Linked DNA regions of Cricetulus griseus. The protein of the gene in region 4 interacts with the protein of the main gene of each other region in a pairwise test. Links are inferred from orthologs where the notes say so. Each region holds a gene or a part of one and is shown on either strand. Other genes may lie near its edges. The genes, in order: SEC14-like protein 4, Cep68, Ccdc146, Ushbp1, Txlna, Bfsp2 and Cops4.

Evidence for each region.
Region 1: the proteins of Ushbp1 (region 4) and SEC14-like protein 4 interact in binary tests that used the Homo sapiens proteins (3 or more experiments, as listed by UniProt). The two-hybrid records come from large-scale screens. The link is inferred for Cricetulus griseus from reciprocal best matches to the Homo sapiens genes USHBP1 and SEC14L4.
Region 2: the proteins of Ushbp1 (region 4) and Cep68 interact in binary tests that used the Homo sapiens proteins (3 or more experiments, as listed by UniProt). The two-hybrid records come from large-scale screens. The link is inferred for Cricetulus griseus from reciprocal best matches to the Homo sapiens genes USHBP1 and CEP68.
Region 3: the proteins of Ushbp1 (region 4) and Ccdc146 interact in binary tests that used the Homo sapiens proteins (3 or more experiments, as listed by UniProt). The two-hybrid records come from large-scale screens. The link is inferred for Cricetulus griseus from reciprocal best matches to the Homo sapiens genes USHBP1 and CCDC146.
Region 5: the proteins of Ushbp1 (region 4) and Txlna interact in binary tests that used the Homo sapiens proteins (3 or more experiments, as listed by UniProt). The two-hybrid records come from large-scale screens. The link is inferred for Cricetulus griseus from reciprocal best matches to the Homo sapiens genes USHBP1 and TXLNA.
Region 6: the proteins of Ushbp1 (region 4) and Bfsp2 interact in binary tests that used the Homo sapiens proteins (3 or more experiments, as listed by UniProt). The two-hybrid records come from large-scale screens. The link is inferred for Cricetulus griseus from reciprocal best matches to the Homo sapiens genes USHBP1 and BFSP2.
Region 7: the proteins of Ushbp1 (region 4) and Cops4 interact in binary tests that used the Homo sapiens proteins (3 or more experiments, as listed by UniProt). The two-hybrid records come from large-scale screens. The link is inferred for Cricetulus griseus from reciprocal best matches to the Homo sapiens genes USHBP1 and COPS4.

What each region holds. Positions count from the first base shown.
Region 1 is NW_023276807.1:100,840,305-100,844,747, forward strand, and holds the start of SEC14-like protein 4, read right to left. Parts: upstream 3,117-4,443; coding exon 3,063-3,116; intron 1-3,062. UniProt on the Homo sapiens protein: Probable hydrophobic ligand-binding protein; may play a role in the transport of hydrophobic ligands like tocopherol, squalene and phospholipids.
Region 2 is NW_023276807.1:86,250,613-86,254,545, forward strand, and holds part of Cep68 (centrosomal protein of 68 kDa), read left to right. Parts: intron 1-300; coding exon 301-423; intron 424-3,053; coding exon 3,054-3,150; intron 3,151-3,933. UniProt on the Homo sapiens protein: Involved in maintenance of centrosome cohesion, probably as part of a linker structure which prevents centrosome splitting. Required for localization of CDK5RAP2 to the centrosome during interphase. Contributes to CROCC/rootletin filament formation.
Region 3 is NW_023276806.1:173,067,250-173,071,773, forward strand, and holds the start of Ccdc146 (coiled-coil domain-containing protein 146), read left to right. Parts: upstream 1-1,654; 5' UTR 1,655-1,807; intron 1,808-4,524. Other genes in the region: protein FAM185A, read right to left, coding at 968-1,322. UniProt on the Homo sapiens protein: Essential for sperm flagellum biogenesis and male fertility.
Region 4 is NW_023276806.1:247,620,336-247,624,949, reverse strand, and holds the start of Ushbp1 (Usher syndrome type-1C protein-binding protein 1), read left to right. Parts: upstream 1-1,578; 5' UTR 1,579-1,948; intron 1,949-2,198; 5' UTR 2,199-2,272; coding exon 2,273-2,326; intron 2,327-2,424; coding exon 2,425-2,546; intron 2,547-2,774; coding exon 2,775-3,189; intron 3,190-4,602; coding exon 4,603-4,614.
Region 5 is NC_048595.1:23,407,436-23,411,368, forward strand, and holds part of Txlna (alpha-taxilin), read left to right. Parts: intron 1-722; coding exon 723-818; intron 819-1,421; coding exon 1,422-1,748; 3' UTR 1,749-3,933. UniProt on the Homo sapiens protein: May be involved in intracellular vesicle traffic and potentially in calcium-dependent exocytosis in neuroendocrine cells.
Region 6 is NC_048597.1:211,724,797-211,729,473, forward strand, and holds the start of Bfsp2 (phakinin), read right to left. Parts: upstream 3,071-4,677; coding exon 2,582-3,070; intron 1-2,581.
Region 7 is NW_023276807.1:162,549,576-162,553,954, forward strand, and holds the start of Cops4 (COP9 signalosome complex subunit 4), read left to right. Parts: upstream 1-1,400; 5' UTR 1,401-1,548; coding exon 1,549-1,622; intron 1,623-4,379. UniProt on the Homo sapiens protein: Component of the COP9 signalosome complex (CSN), a complex involved in various cellular and developmental processes.

The DNA.
Region 1 (4,443 bases), on a different chromosome or scaffold from region 4:
ATTGGAAAGAGAAACAAATAAAGAGGCCCAGTGGTTCCCTACACACAGAGGTTCTGGAATGAGGATTAAGTTTGAACAAAGAACAAGAGAGGCATGCATAACTAAGCAGTCCTGACAAGAGGTGGTTCTATCCACCACCAACCTGTCATGTTTATCCAGTCTATCAGAGGAGCTGTTAGAACAGTGTGAACCTCTTCTTGGGAGACAAGTACCTCTCCTGCCTAGTGCCAGTGCCTTCCCCGAATAAATACCAGAACTCTGGCCTTTTCTTCCCCAATTCTGGGTGATTCTGATGAAGGCTAGCCTCATGGTTCTAGAGACATTACCCCAGAAATTGCATCCTGATGGTCTGGAACAGAGAAGAGTTCCTCTCTCTTATCTTCAGTTGCCTCATTTGTGAAATGAAGGTAATGTCAAATTTGTCCAATCAAAGCTTGAATGTGTTTAAAATAAACATGTAAACCAGGTTTGGTCGTGCATATCTGCAACCCCAGCACTCAGGAAGATGAGGCAGGAGGATCAGGGGTTTGAGACAAGTCTGGGCTACATATGGAGTACATATCTAAAAAAGAAAAGAAAAGAAAACCAACAGGACTGAAGAGATGGCTCAGCAGTTAAAGATTGGATATTCTTCCAGAGGATCCAGGTTTGATTCCCAGCACCCACATGGCACCAGCCATGCATGTGATGCACATATATACATACATGTAAAACACTCATAAAACACACACACACACACACACACACACACACACACACACACACACACGCACACACACACCCCCTCTGTAAAGCTGGACCTAGTGCCCTAGAAGCAGAGATAAGTAGATCTTGTGATTTTAGAGCCAGTCAGGCCTGGGTACCTCAAATCTCTAAAAAGTAGCAATAATAATTGTTTAATTTTTGAGACAGGGTCTTACTATGTACGTAGACCAGACTGACCTGCCTCTGCCTCCCAAGTGTTGGGATTAAAGGTATTTGCCACCATGCCTGGCCAATAGTAATAATCCAAAAAATGAGAATACATTCTGCTTTGCTTACATAATTAGACGGGAATATGTGAAGACAAATGACCAAACATAAAGGAAGAAAGTCCCACACTTTAACAAGCAGACCATGAGGCCTTGGGGCTGATAACCCACAATGCTGTGTACAAACATTCACAGCCTAACCCCTAATGGCTAGTCTACAAATAAGTGGTGCTCTATAATTTCCTAAAGTCAGCCTCAGAGGCAGCTACTGACCCTGCACAAACAGCTTATTTGATGACTAACTAAACTTCTAGTCATCTGCTGTGACAGGCCAACCTACAGCATCACCTCGGTCAAGTCATACCTTCTCTGGGAGTGCACTGCTGTCATTGCATGGCTGTGCATCTAACAGATTCTCCTCTTTGGCCTTTTTCTTTTTGGTAAATCCATAGCCTTCATGTACCTCACCTGTCACTGTCATTCAGCGTGATAGTCTGGTGCTAACAAGGATTAAAGCATGAATCCCCGAAGGCAATGAGAAGATTCACACTGGAAGACAGCTGCAGCCTCAGGGACCAGAGGAATTCTTGTTGGGGTTGGAGGGTGTGAAGGGGGACAGTGCCCCTTAAGAAACAATAATGCTGCACCCCTCATCCCCTCTAGGCAACTGTTCCCTCAGCCTGGAGAAAAGCCACCATATAGTGTCATATGAAGATTGTGTGTCCGAAAGTGTGACCACAGTATCACATGAAGATTGTGTCTGGAAGTGTGACCACAGTGTCACTTGAAGAGTGTGTGTCTGGAAGTGTTACCACAGTGTCACTTGAAGAGTGTGTGTCTGGAAGTGTGACCATAGTATCATATGAAGACTGTATGTCTGCAAGTGTGCATAGTGTCACATGAAGACTGTGTGTCTAGAAGTGTGACATAATGTCATATGAAAACTATGTGTCTGGGAGTGTGACCACAGTGTCATACCAAGACTGTGTGTCTGCAAGTGTGACCACAGTGGTCCACGCTAAGCTCAGGAAGACTAGACTCTAGAAGGAAATGATCCTATGCACAGTCGTGCAGAGCTCTGGTCCATCCACAAGCCTTTCCCCTTCTTCCTCGTTTCTTTTCTCATAATTTTTAAAACAGCTCATAGGGCTCTCTATCACAATCTGATCCCAGAGGCCAGATGTCTAGTTCCAAAAGAACCCTGTGCCTGGTGCTTCCTGAGGCCATCAGTGCTGGGAGGCTGGTCAGATCCCACTGTTCCACTAAGGACCTCTCTTTCACCAGGAGAGCCTTGGCTGAATTCCAAACTCCCCTCCTTCACCCAGGACTCTCATTTCTCCCTGTAGGGTCCTTCCCTATGGGAGACACTTCAAAACAATCCATTCATCTCTTGTTCTTTGAGAGAGTGTCACTAGGTTCAGCTAGTCTTGAACTTGACAATCTTCCAGCCTTTGCTTCTCAAGGCTGGGATTCCAGACCCAATGCCTCCGGTGCCTGGCCTTCTGTCACAAATCTTAAGCTTCCCTGAGTGTGAGCCTGGGCTGGACTCCTAAGGCCTGGGCCTTCCCTTTCTGGTGGCTTCCCTTCTGTAGGTACAGCCTACAGTATGCTCTCAAAATAAGAGCCCTTAGCCTTTTATTTTTCTGTGATAATTAAAAGTAAATAAATACCTCTGATAAGAAGACTGTGAACCCTGGCAACAGAAACCAAAGCAAACCAAACATTGTCGAAATCTGGGCAGAGCTCTCTGATCTGCCTGGCAATAGCCACAGGCTGGGAACAGAGGCCAGGGCTGGGTGGTGGAGCACGCTGTGCTGGAAGGCTGAATACACACACACACACACACACACACACACACACACACACACACACGCACACGCACACGCACACGCACACGCACACGCACACGCACACGCACACGCACACCATGAAATAACCCAGAGAGGAGAGGAGGGGTGCAGTATGCAGTGCAGCGGCCTTGGAACAGTGCTTGGGAGGCACTGGGCTTCACCATCCAGTCCCCACACAGCACTACAGCCAATGTGAGTTCAGCTCCCGCACCTTTCACCTTCCACCCGCCTCACTCCTCACCCTGGCCAGTGTCTCCTGCTGCTGCGGGCTCAGTTCTCCAACTTGTCCGCTCATGGTGCTCTCTGCCTAGCTTCGTCTGCCACCACCCTGGCCCAGTTATGCCTAGCAGGTCTGATGCTGGTCCCGCCCCATGGGAGAGTCACTGTTTCTGCCCCGCCCTACCCAGTGCTCCCTGGTTTTTGTTTTTGTTTTGTTTCGTCTGCCCAGGTCATCAGGCCTACCCTATGGGGCAGAGGGGTGACTTGACCTCAAGAGGTAGGTGTCTTGAGAGTCTGAGGCAGCAAGTGGCCTCTACCTCCACGTCTTCACATGCTCAGGGCTCTGACACTCAGGTAGCAGTGGGCTGTAGGTGTTGGGGGTGTTAGGGATGTGTTCACCTAAAGACACATGCATGGGGGCAGTCTCTTCAGAATTGAGGATGTCACTGCCCCAGAGTTCTTTTGCCTAAGGAGAGACCAACCCCCTTTCCCTGACCTTGAACACAGGCTGGGCTCCATGAGTGGTCACTGGTCAGGAAGAGATCCCTTATGTGCCAAATGGCTCCAGCCCTCTAGACGTTGAGAAGGGTTAGGTAAGATGTGCCTCCCATGTTAGCAGAATGTCTGGTATGTCACACTCACTGTTATGGACACAGTTTCAAAACTGTTATGAAGGCTCTCAGTAGAGCCAGGAGCTACAGGATGGCCCAGGTGGTGAATTGTTGGGAGGTATCACAGCTAGAGTGACATATGACAGCCCAGGAGTGGGTGGGGGTGCTTTACACTGAGTAATCTGATCTCTCTGAGGAGGGTGAGAAAACACAGGCTGCCTTGGCATGAATTTTCTGGACAGCAGGTGGCAAGGGAGGGGGGAGGAGGAGGTGAAAACAGGCCACTGAGACCTTTCCCCTCTGTCCTCTCATGGGTCAAATCAAGTTCCAGATATAAGATGACCAAGCATGGGCTCATGTGAGACTGTTGCCCATTGGAGATGTGATTGGTTACCAGCAAGTATGGGCTGTACTAAGTAGAAACAGCAAACTAGATTTCAATGATTTAGTACCAGAAACAGTTAATATTTTATTATTTTTGCTACTGATATCATATGTTGATATGATATGTTTTTAAGATATACTGAAAACATAAAATACATTAAAAAGGAGGAGAAGGAGAAGAAGAAGAAGAAGAAGAAGAAGAAGAAGAAGAAGAAGAAGAAGAAGAAGAAGAAGAAGAAGAAGACAGGTTCTTATGCAGCCCAAGATGGTTTCAAACATTCTACATAATCAAAGAGAATCTTGAATTTTTGGTCTTCCTGCTTTCACTTTCCCAGTGCTGGGAGAACTGGCAGGTGCCACCATGCCTGGTGTGCTGGCTAATTTTATGTCAAATTAACATACACACAT
Region 2 (3,933 bases), on a different chromosome or scaffold from region 4:
TCTGTTGTTTTTGATGTCACATCTGACTGAGGGAAGACACAACCAGTATGGCATTCATTGTCCTGGCAGGGGGAATTTTGGAGTCATGGGGTAGAGGTGGAGACAAATAACCCTGTGAGAGAAAACTCTAGAAGGATTATCTGTATGCCAAAATGCTGATACTTTTAGCCTTTGGACAAGGTAAGCAGTGCACTCGGGTGCCCCATGTGGACTTTGTTTTTGTGGTACTGGGCCCTGAGCATGATAGGCAGACTTCATCACTGAGCTCTGTCCAGTGCCCATGTATTCTTGTCTCCACAGACATTTTGCTGTCAGCTGGAAGAGCTGATCTGCTGGTTGTATAATGTCACAGACGTTGCTGACCTCAGTACTCCACCCAGGTCCACTCTTACAGGTCTCAAGTCTTCTCTGCAGCTTTACCGGGTAATGTGTGGTCCTGGCTCCTGGCTTGCTCACTCACAAGATTGGTGGTTAAGTCACTTACAAAATAAAATTCCAAGTAACTGGAATCTTGTAGCTCAGACTATTTTATCTGAATAAATCTAATTAAGACACCTTTTTCAAATTCTAAATTTTGAACTCCCAGGCCAGATAGAGGAAAATTTGTCTTGAACAATAAATACTTTTGAGGGATTTGCATGGTACTTTGGCAGGTGTCTCAGGGTTAGAACCATAGGCCTGGGGTTTACAGACGGTAGTCATGTATGACAGTTAAGTCTGATATGTACCACTGCTATGCAGTGGCTGCCACACAGGGCAGTGCAAACACAGACACGTCACCAGAGTTCTTCTGAACTGTATTTGTGTTTATGGAACTCAGCTGAAGCTGTGTAATAGGACAGATTTAAGTCATATTTAACCCCAAATCTGACACCAGTTTGTATCTATGTTTGGGACTTAGGATTTTATTTTATGTCTGCTTATTTTTAAGGGCTGTTATTTCACACCTATGAATTTTAGTTAATGATACGAGATAAAAAGCATATTGAAATGGAGGGTAATTCCTGTAACTGCTACCTCAGGTAAACCTGGCTGACTTTGATCACATGGTGGCAGTGTTTGTGGCCCAGGCCTGCTGCTAACCTGGCAGGGAAATGGGGAACCCAGATCTAATCATGTAACCTAACACTGAGTCAGCAGAAGAGGGTGAGATTAACCACCAAGCTCTGACTCAGCTCATCTGGATGGAAGGCCTTTGTTTTCTGTCTTGCAATCTACTAAAATCTAGCCTGGGCTAGCCAGCTGTCCTGCCATGGCAGGAATGCTGTTAGATACAGTGTAGAGATAGAGAGAAACTAGAGGAAGGCTGTACCTGAAGGTTCTTTCTGTTCAGCGTGTCTGTGCCTGGAGAGTGCCCCGGGGAGTCCCAGGGAAAGGAATTGCTCTATCAGACTTATCTCAGTAGCCTTTCCTGGCCTGGCTGAACAAGTGTAAATAGGTTTACTCCATTCTTCATTTGAGCCCTCATAACCCCCTCTATAACTCAACTTCCAGCTGCAACCATCTTGCATTGTAGACAGCTAGGAATTGAGTCAGAAGTTATTCCTGCATATTAGTCAAGCTTAGGCCTCTTGTATGTACACAGCTGTGTCAGTGAGATGACACTGCTGACACCCTCCCCAGAATGGAACATGACTTACAAATGAGCTCTCTTGGCTCTTGCTTAGACGGAGAATGAGTGCTAGGATTTATGTATGCTCATATTTTAACTGACACTCATCCTCTCCTGTACTTGTCCCCAGTCATCCTCTCTTGTACTTGTATTTCTTCTTGATGCAGTGGGGCTGAGGCAGCATCTAAACTCCCTAGAGCACAGGAGGATAAAAACAGTTTGGGGGCAAAGGAATACTGAGGGCAAGAGAACAAATCCAAGAGTAAGATTAGCACCCTTAAAATACTAAGCAGTGAGGTCTGTCCCATGGCATGGGTTTAATTTTATATGATTCTTACTGGCTAAAGAAAGATTTTAGCTAGGTGGTGGTGGCACACCCCTTTAGTCCCAGCACTCAGGAGGCAGACGCAGGTGGATCTCTGTGAGTTTGAAACCAGCCTGGTCTACAAGAGCTAGTTCCAGGACAGCCTCCAAAGCCACAGAGAAACCCTGTCTCAAAAAAAAAAAAAAAAAAAAAAAAAAGATTTTAAAAAATTAACTAGAGCTGACTATGGTGGTACATGCCTTTAATCTGAGCACTCAGGAGACAGAAGCAAGCATAACTCAATGAGTTTGTGGCCAGCCCAATTTACATAGTGAGTTTAGGGCAGCCAGGACTGCCTTTAATGAAAATAAAAATCAGCAACGATGCTTTGTAGCTGTGAGGGATAACCTGCTTGGGAAAATAACCTATTTTTGGGAAAATAGCAGCTTCCCTGATGTCAAGGTGTTATTATAGAGGCCTCAGAGAAGGGGTATAAAGATGGGGGAGGGGAGCACGGGTCAGCGTGGTTAGTGTAGTAACAAACTTCTGCTTGTAGTTTTGTTTGTTTGTTTGTTTGTTTTTCGAGACAGGGGTTCTCTGTGTAGCTTTGGAGCCTATCCTGGCACTTGCTCTGGAGACCAGGCTGGCCTCGAACTCACAGAGATCGGCCTGCCTCTGCCTCCCGAGTGCTGGGATTAAACGCCCGGCTGTTTGTAGTTCTTACCTACCATGTTCATTCTAAGGGTCAATCACATACCTGAGTTAGAGACCACCATAAAGGAGTGTACAAAATGGAATCCCTACGCCTGTCCAAGAGCGAGCCAGCTTCTTCTGGGGAAAACTCTTCTGTTGATCTGGACTCGATGGCACAGGGTTATAATCCTAGCACTGGGGAAGATAAAGAGGACTCTGTAGACCAGCCTGAGCTAAATTAAGACTCTGTCTCAACAACAAACAAAATCAGTGAATATATGTCCATGAACTCAAAGAAGCTGCCACAAGATAAGTCTACTGAGGGATTCTTGACTGCGTGGTGGCTATCTTCCATTTAGAGAAGTCAGGTGTTGGATAGTGTTCATTCTAGATGTCTTTTACAAGCAATAGTATTGAAACTTTTTTCTTTTCTGATGTCTTAAGCAATTTAAGAAAGATATAGACAAACATCAGTCCCTGACAGAGAATGTCTTGGAGAAGGGGGAGATTCTTCTTCAGTGCCTGATGGATAACACCCCAGGTGGGTAACCAAGAGCTTTGTTTGGTTGTTTATTGACACATGATATACTTATCTATGGGTCTGGTGTGACACACATGTCCACTGTATGTGGCTATAAATTGGAACATGCCTTTTCACTGAGTGTGTTAGAGTTGCCCTTAGGAATTCAACCCATTTATCTGCTAGTGAATTTTAATACGAAAGTCTGAATTAGTCAATATAAAATTAAAGATGAAGAGTCAGGCATGGTGGTGCATGCCTTTAATCCCAATCTCCTCTGGGAGGCAGAGGAGCATCTTAAATTTCTGGCTAGCCTGGTTTGATAGTTCAGGACAGGCTGGGCTACATAGTGAGATTCTATCAGAGAGGGGGAGGGGAAGAGATTAAAAATAAAATACAGGTGACAACCAGAAAGAAAGAACTAGCCAGGAAGTGGAAAGTCAGCTTAGGTATTGTAAGCACTGTAACTCCAGCTCCAGGGCATCCAGTGTCCTCTTCTAGACTCACATGTACACCTACCCACACACACGGATCTACACATGTACACATAATTGTTTTGAAAACCAGCCAGTATTATATATAGCAATTGAATTTAGACTGCGGTGGCACTCTTATTTTCTCAATGTAGAATTCTCATCAGCTTCAACTGACAGCCATTTTCAGGTTGTTCCCATTTCCCATACCAGTTCCATCTCCGATGTCTCTAGAACACAGTAAAGAGGAGAGTGTAGCTTCTGTTCTCCTGGATGTACAGTAGTCAGTAGTGGGATTCCCAGATCCTGCTGCCCTATCTAGTCTTGTGAA
Region 3 (4,524 bases), about 75 Mb from region 4:
CCATGATCCTCTCAGCATGCTTTTTCACACAACCCAGGACAACCACAGTGGGTGGTGCCCTCCCACATCAATCATTAATCAAGAAATACTTCACAGACTTCGTACAGGCTACTCTGGTGAAGGCATTTTTTCAACTGAGGCTCCCTCTTCCAGGGAACCTTGTATCAAGCTTTGATACCCTTGTATCAAGCTGCTAAAAATGAGTGAATGAATGAGGCATTGTGAAATTTACTTTCTAGCTGCCTTGCCGCCTTAAATGCAAAGAAATGAGGCTAGGATTTGAGCTGACTGGAATGGCTCAGCCTTTATGCTCTGTTGCTTCTCACCTGACTAGCCTAGATGACTAAGAGGCTGTGCCTTCCACATGTACTAATCTGAAGGTGCTGAGGGGGCTTTACCACAATACAGATTAAGGTGGTGTCTTAAGAGTTTCTGTCCTGTGAAGACACCATGACCACAGAAACTCTTATAACGGAAAACATTTAATTGGGTGGCTTATGGTTCAGAGGTTCAGTCCATTATCATCATGGAGGGACATTTCAGCTGCAAACAGATGGTGCTGGGGAGGGAGCTGAGAGTTCTACATCTTATGCAGGCAACAAGTAGTCTGTCTTACTGGGAGTCGCTTGAGCATAGGAGACCTCAAAGCCCACCCTCCACAGTGACACACTTCTTCCAACAAGGCCACTCCTCCCATTAGTGCCACTCCCTTTGGGGGCCATTTTCTTTCAAACCATCACAGGTGGGTGTCAATGGAGAGCTAAACAAAACTTAAAACAGCACCTGTGAAAATTGATGCCACCCCTGCTGTCAATCCCAATCTCATCGTTACTTCTAACCAGAAGCCTGCTTCTGGTTACTGTCTCCATGCCTCTACTCCGTAGGTCTCCAAATCTATATAGTTAACTTATTATTTGTTCCATGAAGTTGGAAAGCAGGAATCCTAACCAGTTTTCACTGCACTTGCCAAACCTGAGGGGCGCGTCCACCTCCACCAAGGCCCGGGGGTCGATGTCGTCCGACAGGACGGCCACCTCCCGCCGAGCGGCGTCGTACTCCACCTGCAGGCCGCGCGCCCCGCGCTCTGCACCGCGCACCGCCACCCGCACGCGCTCGCCGTCCGGGTGCGCCAGGGGATCCAGGGCCCTGACGAGCAGGTGGCAGGGGAGCCGCGTCCTCAGCCGCCAGAACGGGCTCACCCGCAGCGTCCACTGCATCAGCGCCGGGTCTCCGGGCGCCGAGCCCTGCCGCGCCCCGTGCGAGCCCCGGAAGAGGACGCTCGCCCGCCCGCGGAGGGCGCCCGGCAAGAGGCGGCCCCACATGCCCGCTCCGCAGCGCGGGACCAACAAGGCCTCCTCGCCACCGAGATAGAGGCCCGAAGGCTGTAAAGCAAACCCGGTGACAAGTGACAACTTCAAAGTACCACTGGTTAAAACCCTGACCCTGCTCTTCCTCTATTGCCGCCCTTGGTCGGAGGCCGCCGGGATATGTAGTTCTAAAGGTAGCGGATATCCAAGTGCTCCAGGGGCCTTGGAACTACATATCCCAGGAGACAGTGCGCCGGAGAGATAGAGTGACACGAGCTGATTGGTGGAAAAGCCTAGCCGTTGCTCCAATCTCATTGGCCCAAGAGACCCACGGACCAATGGAAAGAGCGGAAGGGCCAGGCTGCACAAGCGGCGCGGCTACCTTGGATACCAAGGACGCGACTCGTTTGGAGAGTGTGGAGTTTGGAGTGAGATTCCCAGGGACTAAAACCCGCGCAGAAAAATAAGAGTCTGAATAAGGACCAGAACCAAGAGAAAGGGTAAGAACGGCGTGTTCACAGACGGGAAGTAGACGCAGAGCTGCCCCCTGTAGGCTGGGCCCCCTCCTCCTCTGCCCTGTAAGGGAACTTCCTCTTGCCTAGAAAGTACTGGATAGAAAAGAGAGCTGGGCTCCTGGCTCTGTCCTAACTGTAAGCAACCTTAAGCCACTCATTCGGTGCCTTTAGGTTTTACTATTTTCTTGTAGAATGACGGCAACAGTATCTCCCTTGCCTTGTGTGGGAGGGTTTTTACAAGGATCCATTGAAACTACAGTTGACAAAGTAGTGCACAGTCTACAAAACGAGTAAAGTGGTGTTTTAGGAATAGCATTGTTTCTAAATTGCTGGGAAATTTTGAGGCATTTGGTCTCGTTTAGATTTTTTTCTTTTTTAATTTTTTTAATTTTAATTAGAAAGATTAGTTTACATGTCAATTTCAGTTCCCTCTCTCTCCCATCCTCTCCTGTCCCCCCAACTAACACCCTACCTATCCTAAACCCTTTCTGCTCCCCAAGGAGGGTGAGGCCTTCCATGGGGGGCGTCTTCAGAGTCTGTGGTAGCCTTTGGGATAGGGCCTACGCCCACCCCCTTGTGTCTAGGCTCAGGGAGTATCCCTCCATGTGGAATGGGCTCCCAAAGTCCATTCCTATGCTAGGGCTAAATACTGATCCATTACAAGGGGCCCCATAGATTTCCAAGGTCTCCTCACTGACACCCTCATTCAGGGGGTCTGGATCAGTCCCATGCTGGTTTCCCAGCTATCAGTCTGGGGACCAAGAGCTCTCCCTTGTTCAGGTCAGCTGTTTTATAGATCTCTTTCACTACAAATGATCCTCGGGGTTAGTGGTAAAAAACTAAAAGTTTTTTTTTCCCATAAGACTTGTGAGGGGAAAGTCTTTTTTCCTGGCCCTATTGGTTTATCTGTGTCACAGGGACCTGGTCCTTCATTTTTGAGGTAAAGATAGAATGTACTAAATAACTCTATAAGGCTTCTTTCCTTCTTTATTATTAAGTAGGCAGTAAAAATAAGGAAAGTGTGGGGTGCAGCCATTATTTCACCCTTGCTTGCCTAGCCTCTCCCACTCTCTACAAACAATTCCCTAAATTCCTTAAGTATAGATAGATAAGTTTGATAGAATGCCAGTCCTATGTATCGGTGTTCACTTTTAATCCTCCAGAATTTGGAAAGCTGAAGCTGAGGATCTCAAATCTGAGGTCACCCTGCACTACATAAAGGGAACTCTGTCTCAAAAAATAAAATAAAATGGTGCCTTTAAAGACAGAAGCCCTCAGCCAAAATGAGGACCCCAAATCTTGGGACCTGAAGTAACAGAGAGATTGGTAGACTGATCTAAAGTCTTCAGCAGTGTCTGTATTATTCCTTTAGTGAAGATTATGGTAGCCTCGGTGCAGCAGCCCAGACCTGCTTCCAGCAGCCCAAGAAGTCCTCTTACCCTTGGGGACTTCCACTGAGGCGAAGCCCTTCCTTGGCTTTACTGCAAAAATTAATGTTGGAATTAGCTAGTATGAAAGAGTTGGAGTTGATTTAAAAAAGAGAGATTTTAAACATAGATTTATGAAGCATAGGGGTTGACAGAGATGATCACTCAGGGAAAATAAGACATGCTCAAGAACACAGGTGTAGGCTTTTCAAAGACATTATACCCTCAAGTGTCTTAGCAGGAGCTCTGGAGAGTCACTCTTTTGGTGGTTCTCAAGTTACGCCTTGAAAGATTTCTTAGAAAGGATTTTAAAACCTTTTCTCTCTTTTTTTCTCAATAAGTTATATTATTGGATGGTTCTAGAGGTGTCCTAGACTGGATTACTGTCCAAAAATAAAACCACGTGTCATAAGAATGGTAGAAGAGGGTATTAACTGTAAGAGGTATTTACTGTAGATAGGGTTTCTGGTGAGATTCCTAGAAAATTGCTGGTTTATAGCTGAGAAAGAAGAAAGGCCTCTTGTGTTTAGGTCTTGGGCGTGATCCATTGCTACTTCAACATTCTAATTTGGAGATATCTCTATATAAAAGAAATGTTACCTTTCTATTGGCACCCTTCATAAATAATGTTGTAACTTCGTTAGAATTCATGATTTCAGCTGACGAGAGGCACTGGTAGCACTCTGAGATGAAGGTTCCTTTCCTTCCCATGTCTCCATCATTTCTGTGGTTCTAGCCTGCCTCTGGAAGATATAAAATACATTTTATGCTAAGCAAGAGCCTGCTCTATGAATAATGTCCTTAGCTTTGTGTTTTATGTGGACATAATTATCAGATTAGTTTTCAAATTATCTTTTTATGAAAACCCATAGGCATATTTTTGAAAAAGTGAAAATGGCACAAGCAAGTTGACGATGAATTCAGATTACTTGTATGATTGCTACATATAGTAAATAAAATGCATCCATAATAAATTATCCTGTTTCTATAGTAATTTTCCCATTCTGAGAAAAATTAAATTAATAGAATTGCCAACTGAGCCCTAATGGCATATGTAATACTATCATTATTTCATTACTTTCAAATAAAGGAACTAAAACTTATTGAAAATTACATTTCTGGTTTCATGAGGTTGAGAACTGAGACTCTGATCGATATTAAAGTTACCAACACCTAACATGTATATATCACATGTAAATAGTGACTAACAAATACCATTTTCAAAACATGCTTATGTGCATTGTCTCCCTATATCCTCACAAAACACTGTTAAGA
Region 4 (4,614 bases):
TTGCCTGGCTGGCTCTGGCGAGCCTGTGTCTGGGTTCCCGCCACCCGCGGCTACGGCTACCGCGCGTGGGGGACCGGGCCGTGCACGAGGGAGGGCGCTCCCGCGGGTGATCAGGTCCTGGGGCAGCAGGAAGCCCAAGTCGCCGACCGTGCAATGATGCGCGTTTCTCGGGGTGGCGACTCAGGACTCCGGAGCCCCCACCTCCTCAAGCAGAACGAACCTGGAACTGCAGCAAGCCGGATCGATGTCCGACCACAACGACAAAAAGCTCGCACGAGATCACACCGCCAGGTTCCACTCTGCAACCTAGGAACCACAGCCAGTCAATCACAGGGTTCTAGGAAGCCGCCATCTTCCTGACCGGAAGTTTGCACGGTGCTGCCGTAACGTCTTCTGGGAAATGTAGTTCAATGGCCCCGGGATCCTGGGGGTGTGCCTTAGAGCACACTGGCAGGAGTGGGGCTGAAGTGGGGTAGTGTTAGGGATGGGTGTGACAGAACGGGGTTGACTGAAGCAACACTACACTTGTCAAGGCTTCTGCTGAGATAGGACAGGAGCCGACCTGGGCGGGGCTGATTGGTGATTGACGCGGTGGGACTTGACGTGGATTTGCGTCATGTATTTCTGCTTCGTCTTTTACATATGTTGGCACTCACCAATACCATCGCGATGGGGGCTGGGGAGCACACTTGTCATCTCCGCACTCCAGAGGGCAGAAGATGACGTCAGGTGTTAGGCTAGCCTGGGCTATACGAGACACTTCTAAAAGCCAAAATGGAAAGGAAAAATAAAGAAAATCCCGCAGATACCGTGGACAGGCTCCTTGTCCCGGGGGAGCTTTCCGGCGCCAACAGACGGTGCTCTGCTTGAAGAAAACCGTTGTGGGTCGGAGAGCAGGTGCGGCCACCACCACGCCTGACCGAGGGAGAGGATCGATCCCACGAGTGCTTGCAGCTCACCCACCACAGACACAAATAGATAGAACAAAGTAATGAAAAATAAAATTTATTCCAATGTTGGAGCCCACGCCTACAGGTTTGTTATTTTTAATTTTAGAAACACACACAAAGAGAGAAACAGAGAGAGAGAGAGAGAGAGAGAGAGAGAGAGAGAGAGAACAGAGAGACAGAGACAGAGAGGAAACACACAGACACACAGAGAGAGAGAAACACACACAACAGAGAGACAGAGACAGAGAGGAAACACACAGACACACACACAGAGAGAAACACACACAACAGAGAGACAGAGACAGAGAGGAAACACACAGACACACACACAGAGAGAAACACACACAACAGAGAGACAGAGACAGAGAGGAAACACACACAGAGAGAAAGAGAAACACACACACGACAGAGAGACAGAGACAGAGAGGAAACAGAGAGAGAGAGAAACAGAGAGAGAGAGAGAGAGGCAGAGAGAGAAACGCAGAGAGAGAGACAGAGACAGAGAGGAAACACACACACAGAGAGAGAGAGAGAGAGAGAGAGAGAAACACACACAGAGAGAGACAGAGACAGAGAGGCAGAGAGAGAAACGCAGAGAGAGAGACAGAGACAGAGAGAGTAACACATACACACACACACACACAGAGAGAGAGAGAGAGAGAGAATGAGAGAGAGAGAGAGCTTACAGTAAGAGTGAGCCCTGGTGAACCTGGGGATGGACACTGAGAAACCCTGAAATGGAAACAGAGAAAGGGACTGCAAGTTTGGGCTGGGCTGTTAGCCTGGAGTGGCACAAGGGTCCCAATTCTCCATCCTGTCCACATTCTGGAGGAAGCTGACATCCTGAAGAAGGAAACAAGACAATAACTCTCCATGTGACCAGGGCAGGAGGCTTCCTGTTTCTCAGCCCCTCCCAGGCCAGCCTTGGCCAGCACAGCCTCAGCAGCCAGTGGCCAGGATGACCTGAGATGTGCCCAGGCACTCAGGCCTTTCCCAAGGTGCCCTGGAGCAGAGGAGAGGGTGGAGCCCCCCACTCCCAGGGGAGGGAGCTTGGTGCTAGGAGAGTCCTGGGAGGAGAGCAGATTCTTGGGGTCCCTATCCCATACCTCCATAGGGGAGAGAGGGGGACACTGATGAGGGAAAAGCACCAGAGAAGGGGGCAAGAGGTTGGGGCAAATAGACAGGCAATGGGCACCATCGGAGAGGTATCCAAATGTTCTGTCAGTGCAGTTGACCAAAAATTCCTAGGGTGAAAACCGAATGATACGGGGAGACAAAGGGAAGATCTGAGAGCGGGCTGTAACCAGGGGGTTAAAGAGGCAATGAGCGCCCGGGCCACTAGGCCCCGAAGCCGCCGAGGGAGGCATCCTCAGCCTGTAAGTGTGCCCCTCTTCCTGCTTCACCCAACCTCATGGATCCTGGAGCCTAGGCCTGCTTGGACTAGAACCTGCCGTGGTGGGGTTGTCATTTTCAGGGGGAGCTGGACCCAGTGGCTGAGAGCTCAGAGGAGGTGGAGGCCACCAATGGGAGCTTCGAGTCCAAACCTGAGTTACTTCAGGAGCACCTTGGTCCTGACCTGCAGAGCCCAGGGAAACGGTAGGACGAATTTAGTGCTTACTTCCTGTTCCAGCAGGAGCCCCTCACAAAGCTGCCCTGCCCACCTCTCTTAGTGTCCATTGCCTCCTCTATCCCCCTCCATCTCTCTCTTCCCTTCCTTTTCCTCCTCAGCTCACTGCCTGCTCACCCTTCCCAGGGACCTTGAGGTCTAGCCCTGAAGCCCCTGCTCAGACTCAGGTGGCTGGGGTTCCTGGGTTGTCTTTCCAGGCCTGAGGGTGATTGTGACATGGGATCCCACGGGGCCATAGCCTTGAAGTCAAAGGTGGAAGGCCACCAGACCCTGCAGGCAGCCCCTCTGGATACCAGCTCTGGTGCCACATCAGTACCCAGTGTGTTTGAGACCCTGCAGAGCAGGCTGAGCTCCCTTGAGGCCACTGTGGCCGCCTGGCGCCACCGCTCCCGAAGCTTTCCAAGGCCATTGGAAAAAGAAGAGAGAGACCAGATGGCATTGGAGCCCTTTGATGGTCAGGAAGAAGCCTGGCCTGAACAGCACGAGGCAGCTCGCCTCAGAGAGAGGAACGCCTGGCTGCGGCTGGCCCTGGGCCGCCATGAGGATGAGCTGGTTTGCACTCAGGCTTCCCTGCAGGATGCCCAGGCAGAGAAGGAGATTCTGCAGAGACAGGTGAGCTGAACAAACACACATTTATTCATTCAACAAACTGATGTGGAGGAATGACAGCCACAGAAGTGACCAAGGAAGACAGCAAAGTGAAAGAGAGGGTCAAAAGGAAGCCAGGCAGGGTGCACCCCATGATCTCAGCACCCCAGAAGCTGAGGAGAGACAGATCTCAATCAGAGGCCACTTGGTCAAGACAAAGGTCATTCTCAGATGTAGACTGAGTTCAAGGCCAGCCTGGGTTAAAGACCTGTGTCAATTTTTCTGTTTGTTTTTTAAAAGTTTCAGAGTACCTCAGTGATAGAGGCTTTGCCTAGAGTGTGTGAGGTCCTGGCGCGCGCGCACACACACACACACACACACACACACACACACACACACACACACACGTGCGCGCACACACACACACACACACACACACACAAATCAATCCAGTCTTAGGGTTTCTATTGGTGTGATAAAACACCACCACTAAAAAGCAATTGGGGAGGAAGAGGCTCTTTTCATATTAAAACTCTCAGGCAAGGAGGGACTACCACAGTATGCAGGATGTGGAGGCTGAGCAGGACTGCAGCTGTGCTATGTGTACTGCGAAGCCCCAGAGGGTTCTGGGTTCTGCGGGGAATTGGACCTGCTGGAGGTGTTCCCTTGCGCCATCTGCTGACCGTGGAAGGAACAGCCTGGTGGTGGACCATGACCCTGGTGGTGGGGGAGGGGCGATAACAGTGGGCCCGGGGAAGAGTAAGGTGGTGGTGACCAGAAATGGGCAGATTGTGTGTGATGTTAAACCCAGGTGTTGTGGGACAAGCCTGTCATGCTAAGAACTCTAGAGCCTAAGACAGGAGGATCACAATAGCTTAGACAAGATAGGCAAACGTCTCAAAATAGAAGTAAAGACAGACTGGGCTAGGGTGCTCAGCACTCAGTTTGGAGAGGCTCTTCTCACCAACATAAAAATGAAACTCTCCTTCCTGAGTGTGATGGTGGGAGACTGAGGCAGGAGGATGGCTGGAGCTGGGGAGATCCAGAAAACCCAGGGAAACACTGAGTCTCCTAAAAATTAAAAAGGAAAAAAGTCAAAAAGGCGGGGGCTGGAGAGATAGATGGCTCAGCAGTTAAGAACATTCACTGGTTGTTCTTCCAGAAGCTCACAACTTCCTGTAATTCCAGTTCCCAGCAACCCAACACTCTCACACAACACACATGCAGACCAAACACTAATACACATAAATTAATAAAAATAAATGAATCCTAAACCCCCCATCAGTAGCTGCACACCTCAGGTTCGATGCTGAGTGGTAAGTGTTGAGTGGCAACTGGGACCTGTCTGGTCACGTGGACAGAGCTTGGAGTTGGGTTCCTGCTGTTGATGAGAGCTGCTGTATGGGAAGCCACAGTCTGATCCCCCATCACCTGCAGGTGCTGGAGCTA
Region 5 (3,933 bases), on a different chromosome or scaffold from region 4:
AATTTAAAGTAGTAGAGAGTATGCCTTCCATTACTAGGCTTCAATAGTAGCCTTCCTAAAAAATATTTACTTTTATTTTTTGGCTTTTTTATTTATTTGGTTTTTTGTTTGTTTGTTTTTGTTTTGTTTAATTTTTTATTTTTATTTCATGTGCATTGGTGTTTTGCCTTTATGTATGTCTGTATAACGTCAGGTCTCCTGGGACTGGAGTTACAGACAGCTGTGAGCTGCCATGTGGGTGCTGGGAATTGAACCCCAGTCCTCTAGAAGAGTAGTCAGTGCTCTTAACCACTGAGCGGTTGGTTGGTTTTTGAGACAGGGTTTCTCTGTAACTTTGGAGCCTGCCCTGGAACTAGCTTTTGTAGACCATGCTGGTCTTGAACTCACAGAGATCCAACTCCTGAGTGCTGTGATTAAAGGCATGTGCCTCCACTGTCCAGCTCACCCTACATCACTTTTTTGGTGGGGGGTATATGTATTTGTTGTATACATACACCATAGAATTGCAGAAGTTGACTTTGTGGGTTTCAAGCATGGAACTTAGATTATCGGGCTTGGTAGCAAGTTCCTCCTTTACTTCTTAAGCAGTCTTGTCAGCCCCTCAGTGGTAGACTTAACTTGAGACTCTTCAGTTGGCACAAGTGTAATGTTTCCTTCCTTGGAGGCACAGATGTCCAGACAGCCGAACTCTGACCTTTTCCTTTCCATCTGTCATGTAACAGATGACAAAGAAGATCAAAAAGCTGGAGAAAGAAACGACCATGTATCGATCCCGGTGGGAGAGCAGCAATAAGGCCCTGCTCGAGATGGCTGAAGAGGTGGGTGGAGTCCAGTGAGCTGGGTGCAGTTATGGTCTGTCAGCCCTCTACCTGTTTCTTAGTGACACTACACATGATCTATAACTCTATTTCTAGTCATATTTATCCAAGTGCAGTGACAATGCTGGCTGCTACCAGTATTGTCATGTGAGGCACCCAGGCTGGGTCCCAGTAACAGGAAACAGTGGGTCCTAATGGTTGGTGTGATTCACATGTCGAGCATTTCAGAGTTGTGACTGTGGCTTGCAGTCTACAAGATAGACACTAACATAGTACAGCAGCTGCAAGCCAGTTTTGCCCAGTAGTCTGTTTTATTTATTTCATTTATTTGCAAAGGGTAGTTCTCCTGTTTGATATATCTCATCTTTGAACCTTCTTTTGAGAACTGAGGTTGGCTAGTTCTGTTTAACAGATGTTACAGTTTCAAGTTGCAAATGATTTGCCTGGGTCATCTGGTAGATAAGTAGAGGGATACATTGTCTGACAATAAAGTCATACTGTAAGCTAGGGCTATTTACGGCAGGGGCCGACTCTTGATTTTAAGTTGCACAAACTTAAAGAAATGAGTGTCTCACTGAATGCTCCATTTATTTCTCCACCTAGAAAACTCTCCGGGACAAAGAGCTGGAAGGTCTGCAGGTGAAAATCCAACGATTGGAGAAGCTATGCCGAGCACTGCAGACAGAGCGCAATGACCTGAACAAGAGGGTACAGGACCTGACTGCTGGTGCCCAGGGCTCCCTCACTGACATTGGCACTGAGCGGAGGCCAGAGGCTGCCACTGCCTCCAAGGAACAAGGGCTTGAGAGTCCTGGAGCTCAACCATCCAGCTCCCCAAGGGCCACAGAAGTTCCTGGCTGTCCTGGAGTACCAAGCACAGAAACAGCAGGCCAAACAGGGCCCCGGCAGCCCACTTCTGCCACTGCCTAGAGATCATGGTGCTTGGGCATGCTGGGAAGGGAGCAGCAGCCCAGTCAGGCCTGGTTCATGCAAGGCTCCCACACTGAGCAGCCTAGTGCTAAGGCCAGGGTATTGTGACCTGGAGGGCATTGGACACTTTGCAATTTTTAAATTGTGGGTTAGTCTTATTTACATGGATGGGGCAGGTGTGCAGTGCAGTTAGTTAACACCTGTAGGTGTACAGTGGGCTTTTACCAAGGGTGGGGTATGCAGATGAAGTTGGTGACTGTAAACTGAAGTCTTAGGAGATTTCATCTGTAGCTGCCATCCATTGAGCCAGCAGGTCAGATGACTTGAACATTTTCATGCCTGATTTTGAGGCTCAGACCCGTCAGCCCTTTTCAGAGCTCGTGAAGAGTGGAAACACCCAGCCCTGGACTCTTCTCCTTTGTAAGCAGAGTCTGGGCAGTTTGGGCTCTTGTCATTCCCCTGGAGGTTCCATTTTTCTCTTGACCTGGGAATGGTGTTCCTGGGCAGAGCCTTTGTAAGAAACAGCTTGTCATTAAGCTTCCTCCTGCCCAAGACAAGGAAACTGAGGGGTGTGTCTGTGTGTGAAGGAGCCTCTTCAGGCACCAGTTCTCCTGCCCTCTGGTAGTGCCAGGTCCAGGCCGATGTTGCTTCTCTGTTCTCAGTAGCCTTACATTCACAGGTGCCTCTAGCCTGCACAAATGATTGACAGACGGTCACCCAAAGGATTCTTTTTGGAGGTGTTTTTGTTGTTTTGTTTTGCCTAAGAGTTCGTATTAAAGATCGTCAAAGGAAGGAAGAGGGGATACACTAGCAATGGTCCCAGGTGCCTGGCCTCCAGCGCCCCATTTGGGACAATCCTGTCAGGGTCCTTTGCCATGTTGGTGCCAAGGTGTCCTGTTTGGGAAGATAAAAAGATTATTAAGAGAAAGGATACTGGCCTTGCCACAAACTTGCCTATGGGTTTCAGCCTGGGAGGCTACCACTAATTCTCATCTCCATCTCCATGTAGCCATTGCTGGTCCCTAGATCCAGATGCCTCTCTGAAGACTGTTCTGGTGCCATTTGCTAGCACCCTCTTGGCCAAAAAAAGAGTCCTTGGGATTTCACTTCTTGCTGCCTGAGCCTCCAGGTGTCAAGAATAACTTATAACAACAGACTGATCCCAGGAACCAAAACAGCTGCAGGTAGTTGTGTTTGCCTTTCCTCCACATCCCACTCACATCTGTGTTCACGTGTGGCAGCTCTGTGCTGAGGTTATTGTAGTGCACCTGCCAGGGTATTCAGTTTACACAGCAGCTCACTGGGGCAACAGTGTCTTGGAGCTGACAGCTTCTGTAAGCTAAGAAAACCATAGACAAAGATTGGTTGAAATTTTGCTTCTTGTGGTATTTCAGCTATTGCATTATCCTGTAAGTTGCTTCATCTTTCAAAATTGAGCTGGGTGTGTGCCTGTAAACCCAGGACTCAACAGGACACTGAACATCAGACCAGTCTGGGCTAGGAGCAGAACCCCTTGTCAGAAAACCAAAAGTAAATAGAACATTACTGCTTACAATCATGTGTTCAAGACCAGAAATTACAAACTAATGTCCCTTTTCCCGTGTTGGGCACTACCACTTCAAGAACTTGCTACCCTGTATAGTTAGTTACTCAGGGTGCCCAGCAGCAGTGTAAATGTTGAGGCTTCTTTGCCATCTCCAGCTAGGATCTGTTGTCCTGTGGAGGGTCTCCTAAGGTTTTTCTCTTGGAAATCATAGTATTCTTCCAGCCCTTGTGCCAGGCTGAGATCTGAACTGTTAACCCTTTGGGGCATGCTTGGCCGCAGAGGTGTGAGGACAGGGTATCTTCTGCTGTGGCCCAAATAATTGGCCTGCCTCACTTCAGCTACCTCTTAAAGCCCATGCAGGGGTTACAGCTATTTGGTCTCAGAGGTATGGGCTAGGAAGCTACAATGTGTCTATAGAACCTTGGAGCTATTAGCTCCATCAATTTCTAGGCACCCAGGGCAATATCTAGATGGTAATCTCTTCCTATCTCTTCTCCACTGACCAAATCTGAAGTCACTACAGCTGCTCTGCTTTCCTAAGTCAGCCCAGGAGTCTGGGCCAGCTGTAGGGAGGTGGCCTGTCTATGAGTGAGGTCTAATGCCTTCCTCACTTGGGTGAGTCCATGCATATGACCTCAT
Region 6 (4,677 bases), on a different chromosome or scaffold from region 4:
TTCATGTCTATGCTTTCACAGATGCTTTAGAGGAAAATGGCTGCCATTTCGGACTTTGACCACCAGGAGCCAGAAACCTTGGTGTCCATCTGTTCTTCATAGATCTTCTGTTGAGGCATTTTATAGCTGTCTAGTCCATAGGTTATAGAGTTGCTGAATTCTGTAGACATTATTAAATCCAGTTTATAGATGAGAAACGGAGGCTCATGCATTGTAGAAGTGTTTTTTGTTTGTTTGTTTGTTTTTCAAGACAGGGTTTCTCTCTGTAGTTTTGGAGCCTATCCTGGCACTCGCTCTGGAGACCAGGCTGGCCTCCCTCCAGAGTGCTGAGATTAAAGGCGTGCACCACCAGCGCCCCTATAGAAGTTTTTGTAAAACTTCTTTTGTAAAAAGAACAACTTTTTTCTCTTCTGTCTGCATAGCACCGTCTGGCACTATGAAAGCTATCATGCCAATTTCATGGCTGAACTTTCTAACCACGATACTGAGATGTTGGTTCCTTCCTGGCACGTGGGTATCATACCGTCCAGTAGATGCTGCTGAGGTTGGAATATCTGGGATGTTCTAGGGGTTAATATGTCATACAATATTTAAGACTCAGATAGTTTTGTGGATTCCCTGAGGGGTGGCTACCTCTTGGACAGGTTGTGAGGCCCTCCCTGGATGTTTGAGAACAGCTGCACCAGCCAGAAAGATGGTATTGCACCCTCCTTCTCTAGGGGAGGGTGAGGGTGCTGAGAACAGTGAGATGAAATGGGGATTCTGTGTATGCCCCAGGCATCAGCCAACAGTACAGTTTGTAACCTCTCAGGCTGCATGCCTGACTCCAGGGAGCAAATGGGACCAGGATTTGGCTGCTTCTGGCTGGGATAAGAGACTGGTTTAGTGTGCAGGGATCCCAAGGCCAGCATTTGGGGAGAAAGGGGAGAGAGAAGTCGGCTACCCACGGAGTGACCAGCTGAGATAAGCAATGCCAATAGGATTCTAGCCCCGAGGACCACAGCTTACAGGCAGAATTGATGGATGAGCTTGGAGCACTGCAGAAATTGTCTCAGAGAACACGACACAGCCCTGACCAGGTGAGGAAAAGGAGCCCTCTGCATCCCTGCCCAGAAAGATGACTGTCTACTGTACACAGTGATCAGAAGGAATAAAATCCAAGTAACACAAAAAATATCAAGTTCTCAGTCTCATAGCCATAGCCCAAGGACTCGGTTGCCACAGAGGGTGTTGCATAGCTATTTTCTGAATTGTAGTCCCTCTGGGAGGAGATGGTTCCTAAGGTCCAGGAAACTTACAGAGCTTAGGAAGTTGTAAGATTCACCACCCCCAATTATATATGTGATAAACCCTTGTTGGGGAAGGGAGACTTGCATAGGGCTGCCTGCAAATTGGGCAGGGAGCTGCTCCAGGGGTGCAGCTTTCATGAGCATCCCCCATGTGCCTTGATTCTTCCTTTGATTCTGTTATTCTCCTGTAATTAACCCCAATAAACTCATTGGTCCCCAAGCTAGACTTTGGTAGAATCTTTGATCTGTTGATGGTGCCCTGTCTGGGGTGAAAGTACTGGCTCATGTCTGTGCAAGAGGAGTCACACAATAGGTGGCCAATACTGTAAAATGTTTCCATCCACCATCCAGAAAGTTCTATTTAAATCTCCACTGTTGGGCTGGCACTTTTATATTGATTTCATGTTGAAATAATTTTTGCTATCTTGATTTAAATAAGATAATATTAATGCCAACTTCATTTGTGTTTACACATACATACACACACACACACACACACACACACACACACACACACACACGCGCGCGCACAGGCACGCATGTAATAGGAAATTGAAAATTACCAGTATGGTCCATATTCACACTGATACCATGTATGTGGGTACAGGAGCACACCTTCACTTAGTCATCATTTAAAAAAACACATCCATTCAGTGGTATTTGGTTCTATGGTGGCCTGAAAACCTTTTAAGTAACTGTGACAGAGGCAGTCCCAGATAATAGGACCAATGCAACTTTGGAGGAAGGAAAATCCAGGTTAGATAGTGACTGCCCCTCTCTGTTACAGTGGTTCTCAACCTTCTAATGCTGTGACCCTTTAATACAGTTCCTCATGTTGTGGTGGCCCCCAGCCATAAAATTATTTCATTGCTACTTCATAACTGTAATTTGGCCACTGATATGAGTTGTAATGTAAATACCTGATATGCAGGATATCTGCAAAGAAACCCCCAAAGGGGTTACCACCTGCAGGTTGAGAACTGCTACTCTATTAGCTTGTGGACTTGGACCGTGTTACACAGGTTTTCTTATTTGAAAGGTGTATGCCGTGCTAGTTTGGTCACAGAGCACTACTGGAATGTTTTGGGGGTGGTGCATGTGCACCTAGAGGGGTCCTGGCCCCTAGTCAGCCCCAGTGAATGGCAGCCAATGTTACCATTAGACCACCAGCAGTTTTGGTACGAAAGGGGTGAGCTCTCCCGGCCTCAGACTACTCACCACTGTTGCTGTAGCCTCCAACACCCCCTCTCAGGACACTAGCAAGCCTTTAGATGAACAGCTGGAGGACTTACCTGCTGGTAGCTGCTGGCCCAGGAGGCCCGGAGGGCATCCCAGCCTCCAGAGCGTTTGGCCTTGCTCTCCAGGTGAGCCCGCAGCTGTGTTTCCAGCTCCTGGCTGACTTGTTCAAGAGCATGCACTTTGGTCATATATTCCACTAGGCAGCTCCCCAGGTCTTCAACAGCAGTGTGATCCCTTTCTGGGCCTGGAGCAGGGACAGTGGTAAGGCCTGAACTCCGTAGACCTTGCAGGAAGACACTGCTGATGCCCAGAGCCCGACGGGTCACTCGGGCACTGAGGCCACCTATGCACCCACTGGGTGCTACTCCTACATAGACCCCAGGTGCACGGATGAGGCTACCCAGTGCACTGGTCCTGGATGCTGGGGGGCTCTCAAGGGAGGATGGAGACCGTGTCCCCCTGAGGGACACCCTGTGCCTCTGCAGGGGCATGCTGGAGTTGGCTCCAGGGGGCAAGTCCGCTGCCACTCTCCTCTCACTCATCATTCTCTCTGCCTCTGTGGTGCCTGGCAGGTTTACAGAGTTCAGTGGCTTTTGGTTGCTAGTCCCAGCATCCCCATGGCCTGGTCACGGGCCTCTCTGGAAGCTCCTCTGTCCCCGTGTTCTTTGTCTACTGCCTTCCATGAGCTTCTGTTGTTCATTGAGCCAGAAGAGAACCACCCCGCCAGCCTGTGAGAGGCACACAGGCGTTCTCTGATGCTGGGTCATGTGCCCAACCAATCCAGACTTTTCTGCTGGGGTGAGGGTGCTGGAGCAGTGCAGGTTGTGGGAACGGATCCTCTAGATTTGTCTTATTTCTTTTTAGACAGGGTGTCTGAGTCTGGCCTTAAAATCTCTATGTAGCCAGGATGAGCTTGAACTTCTGATCTTTTGCCTCTAATCCCTGCAATAGAATCCAGGGTCTCATGCATACTAGGTGAATACTCTGCGACCTCTATATCCCCAGCCCGTGGGTTTGTGTATGTTACTGCCATAGAGAGAGTCGGGCAGGCAATAAGTGGTTCTGTTTCACCGGTAAGGAAACAGGCTTGAGGACCTTGGGTGACAAGTGTACTGATCACTTTATATCTCACAGCACAAGCTGGGACTCATTGTAGTGGCCTCAGGACCGATTGCAGGACTTTCCACACCCCTTGACGTGCTGAGGTAGGGGTGTGCACATGCGTGTTCATGTTGTACATCCACATAGGATCAGAGGATGGATGTGGATGTGAGCCAGCCATGGACAAAGGTGCAGCCCAGGAGACCCAAGGGAAACAAAGCAACCTGCTGCCCTCAGGTCTGGCAGCCGTTCCAGGCCCCTTCCAGCTTCTCTCTCCCCCCCTCATGTCTGCCCTCTGACACAATGCTTGTCAGCTGCTGGCCCTGGCCATGTTTCTCCTCCTCTAGACCTTGCCGTACATCTGCCTGATTGCTAATTCTGACACATCAGATGCTCTGGAGCCAGTTTAGGACCTGAACTTCTGGGAAGCTGTTTGTTAGGCTCTGCTCTTTTCCACCTCTGTGTCTTCCTCTAATAAGACTAGGAAGTTGAAAACAACAAAACAATTTCTGGAAAGCACTCATGGGTGCTACAAGTTAGGGTTGCTGGGCACCTCAGGTTTTAATCGTTGCTTTTGGCATACTCCAAGTCACACTTTCAACGGTCACATCCCAGTCACTTCTTGGGGGCTTAGAATGGTCCCTCCAGCCTGGGAATGTGCTCAGGTTGTAGTGTATTGGAACTAAGCATCCCAGGTCTAGAGATGGACATACTCCTTGACCCTATAATGTGAGGATGGACCTGAGTCAAGAGACGGGAACGGGAGTCACCTTCTGGTAGGTACTGAGTATACTCAAATTCTGAGCACAGTTCCACTCTTTACCTCACTGACTTTTCAATCCAACTTTAGAAGGCAGGAAAACACAGGGCTGACAAGTACTGCTGTTTGGGTGCACACTGTACAATCCCAGAAGTATTATAGATACCATTACTCCCCTTTGTGACAGGTGACTCTGAGATCCCATGTCCGGAACTTAGCAGAGCTAAGGAAGCCTCTCTGTTCTGGGGACTTACATAGGTTGTCTCTAGCACCTGTCAATCGCCAGGG
Region 7 (4,379 bases), on a different chromosome or scaffold from region 4:
AACTCACAGAGACACCGTGGGGGCTGTGGCCCAACATCTCCCCAATATCTTTCCCAACAGTCTCAAAAATGTCAAAAGAAAAATAAAGGAAAGAAGGAAGGAAGGGAGGAAGGAAGGAAGGGAGAAAAGAAGGAAGGAAGGAAGGAAGGAAGAAAATACTAAAATTCTCCTGTAAAGTACAATTTGGCAATATCTGGCAAAAATTGTGTGTACCTTGATTTACTTTTGGGAGTGTATTTTACTTGCATATATCTTAAACCATGCACATATAAGGTTATTCATTGCACCATTGGTTACTCTCTTAAAGCTACTTATATATCCTATAAAGACTAAATGTAATGTACCATCATTACCTTTAAGAATAATGCTAACAAAGGACTGGACTTACATTGCTGGATTGTCCGAAAAGTGAAAACACCAAAGATAGAACAACAAGATGTGTCATTTATTGTGAAAAGAAGAGAATGCAAAGTCTTGCACCTATTTGATTGTAATTTTGCAAAGTTTTGAAATAATACATAAATAATGAATGTAATCTCATCTAAAAGTAAGATGACCATATAACTTGTCATTCAAATAACGGTTTGTAAAGTGAAGGCAGTATCATTAATAGTTACTTCAGGACAATAGTTGAAAAATAACATTGTTCTGATGAATACTTTTAAAAGATATAGGATGTAACAGAGAAAGGGAATACACATATATAGTCAGTCCACAGGGATGTGTGTGTACATTAAATCTATTTCCTAGACTCTTGTCTCTCATAGGTTCTCTCATGGTCCAAGCTGGCCACCAACTTGCTAAATTCAGGAACATAGCCTTGAACTTCGAATCCTCCTGCCTCCTACCTTTGGAGTGTTGGTATTGCAGTCTAGCCTTTTTTTGCGGGGGGGGGGGTGCGCTGAAAGCAGTCCACTGATATTATTATAAAGTATGCAATTAAGTTTCTCACATGTGGGGAAGCGCAGACATCAGCACCTCTAAATGGTGGTGCCTTATCCTGAGAGAATTATTTTCTTGTCCGTGGTGTATTCCCTCCTAGCTAAATTGTGTGTGTGTGTGTGTGTGTGTGTGTGTGTGTTTGTTTGTTTTTGCTTTGTTTTCAATGTTGGACTATCTTGAATTGGAAATAAAAACTATAGACAGCTCATTCTTTACCATAGGTGATTTAGAGATGCCTTAAAAAAGAAGGGCAGAACGACGACCCTCAGACCCGGAACTTAGTGAAAACGCTGTAGTTTTAACGCGCCGGGCCCTTACTGAGGTTGCACAAGGTACACTCCTTCAAGGGTTTAAGCCAATCTCAGTTCGGAGCGTGAGAGCCAGCGTCTCTCGAGAGGCCTGGGCGGGTCTCAAACGGGAGGAGAGGAGTTTGGTGTCGCTCAACCCCGAGGGCGGGGCTAATTCCGGCTCCCACACTCGGCGCTCTAGCCCGTAAAGACGCGATCTATGGCACCTCGGGTTCCCTCTGCCTGCGCTCTGGAGGACCACACTCGTTTTCTTTTCGGCTGCGAGCGGTCCCGCAGCCGTGGCTGAGCTGGAAGAAAGATGGCGGCTGCCGTGAGACAGGATTTGGCCCAGCTCATGAATTTGAGTGGCTCTCATAAAGATCTGGCGGGCAAGTGAGTATTTCCTAGGAGTCCAGAGGTGGGATGGGAGGCACAAATTTACCTTCCTAGAGGTGCCGGGGGCTCTCGGGTGTGGGGCCGGGGTGGTAGGCCCGAGGGCTCAGGGGGGCGGGCCTGGTTCAGGCTGTGGCGGTAAATGCTGGGAGCCGCAGAAGACTGTCAGGGACCGTGTGCTGGGGTCCAGACCGCCCCGAGACCCGTGCTGACTGCAGCGTCTTAAGTCCTTGGTAACGTCCTCCACGGGTTCCTTTGGCTTCTGCAAGCGTGGCACGAAAGATGACGGCTCCATCGGCGGTGGCCGCCTTCGTTAGTGGCTCTGGAGAGCCCAACATACCGAGTTTGACTTCTGTTTGCTGCCGCCACCGCCCTCACCTTGGTGGAGATAAATTTATAGTCTGGGCTTTGATGCAGAGTTTTATTTGTTTGTTTGTTTGTTTTTTTTAAGAGAAGGCTTTCCAGGGTGACAGGGGCCGAGGAGTATGGCCGTTGTCATGTCGCCCAGAACTTCTCAAGTTTAAATAGCGTGTGTAGGTCCTTATGTTCTGGATACTCTCCCTCAGTCTCTGTCACCAGCTCTGCAGAAAAGAACACAGGCAGAATGTCCTCGATCTAGGATTTCTAGAACACTGATGTTTCCATAGGCTGTTTAGGAATTTTGTAGAAACCTTAGAATGCTTAGGTCCACTCCAAGTCATAATTTGTTATATATGTATGTATGTATGTATGTATGTATGTATGTATATATATATTTTTTTCTTATTATTATTTTATGAAGGTATCAGATCCCCTGGAACTGGAGTTACAGACAGTTGTGAGCTGCGAATTGAACCGAGGTCCTCTGGATGAACAGCCAGTGCTCTTTAACTACTGAGCCATCTCTCCAGCTCCCCCTGTTGAACAGTTTTAGTCGTTTTCTTTTTGTAGATTTCATAGGTTTGCTCTCTGCTGAAAGTCTTTGTTTTTCGAGACAGGTTTTCCTGTGTAGCACTGGCTTTCCTGGAACTCACTCTGTAGACCAGTCTGGCCTCAAACTCAAGAGATCCGCCTGCCTCTGCCTCTGGACTCCTGGGATTAAGGGCATGCACCCCCCACACCTAGCTCTTTATGCTGAAAGTAGGCCTCCAATTGATTTTACATGCTGGCAGCTGAGAGCACGTTGATCTAACTGTTGAACACTCTTGCTCAAGCCTGCACATTGATGTTGTGTAGATGTTGTATGGCAGCTGTGCTGCTTTTTTGCTGGTAAATTTAGTTATACCCCAGCCTTAACTACTTTATGCTTCCTTTTTCTGCTTAAAAAAAAAGTGGTAGTGTGATTGTGAGACTTAGTCTTACCTGATTTCAAGATGAGTGTGTGTCTGTGTACTTATCACACTAAATATCTGAGTTCTGTCCCTGGTATATAGAAAACGCCATAGAATTGTTACTATTAAGCAGTCGGTAAATATATACTGACTTATTCCAGGATTTGGAAGTAGTTGACTATGTCTTCATTGTTTAGTCTTTTTTGCATGTATTAATACTTTTTATTGGTTTGGATGAAAGTAAAACTAGCTTATGTATTTCAGAAAATGTAAGGCCATTAGTTGTCAGATAAGCTGTAGCTCTTTGAACTGGGAAGCATTCTGGAACTTTGGCTTACTCCTTAACTTCTTTAGCTTTGAATTGGAGATGAGCAGTAGTATGTCTCCAGTGGGTTGTTTCTTTGTCTGTTGCTGCTTAATAAACGTACAGTTTAGTGGTGTAAGCATACTTTTCTCCCCAGGATTCTTTGTGTCACCTGGGCTGTCTTCCTGGTCTTGCCTGGTTCAATTAAACAGATTAATTTGGCTAGCAGTTCAGTTAGGGCTGGGCTCATGTCAGTATCTGGCTGTTGGCTGGGTCTTTTATTCTAGTTTCATAGTGTAGCTTTGGCTTTCTTCTGGGCTTCTCCATTAGAGTGTTCTACCTGAGTGAGAATGAAAGCTGAAAGGCTTAAGGCTAGCCTGAGAAGTCTTCCATTGACTCTGTAATACTGGTGAAAGCAAGTGATTCAGGGGGAAAGGAAATGGAATGTACCACTAACTTTTTAGTAGCAAAGTGATATTGCAAAGGAGTCATTGGAAACTATTCTTGTGGCAGTTTACCATGTGAGTTTATTATTCAGAGCAAATGAAATGATTGGATTGATAAATGGTAGCCCATGTAGTACTAGCTAGCTCCTCCCTCAGTATCACTTTCTTTTCTTTCTTTTTCTTTTTTTTTTTTTTTTTGGTTTTTCGAGACAGTTTCTCTATGTAGCTTTGGAGCCTATCCTGGCACTTGTTCTGGAGACCAGGCTGGCCTCGAACTCACAGAGATCTGCCTGCCTCTACCTCTCGAGTGCTGGGATTAGAGGTGTATACCACCAACACCTGCTTTCTTTCTTGTCTTAGGATTTAGTTGATTATTTTTAATTTTTATGTATGTGTGAGTGTGAGTACCATCTGTGTGCAGGTGCCCATGGGTGCCAAAAGAGGGAGTCACCGGGAGCCCTCTGACCTGGGTGCTGGGAATTGGATTCAGGTCCCTGGAAGAGCAGCACCCTTGACCACTGAGCCATCTCTCCAGCCCTCCCTCAGTGCTGCTTTCTGGCCTTGTCTCTGGATGTTTGCCCAGTACTATCTGGGTAAGAATGTTAGGATGTTTACCCCTGTAACAAAACAGTTCTGCCAGCCACATAACTTTATGAAGCACCTATGCCATGTGTTTATTTAAGGTTTTTATATTGGG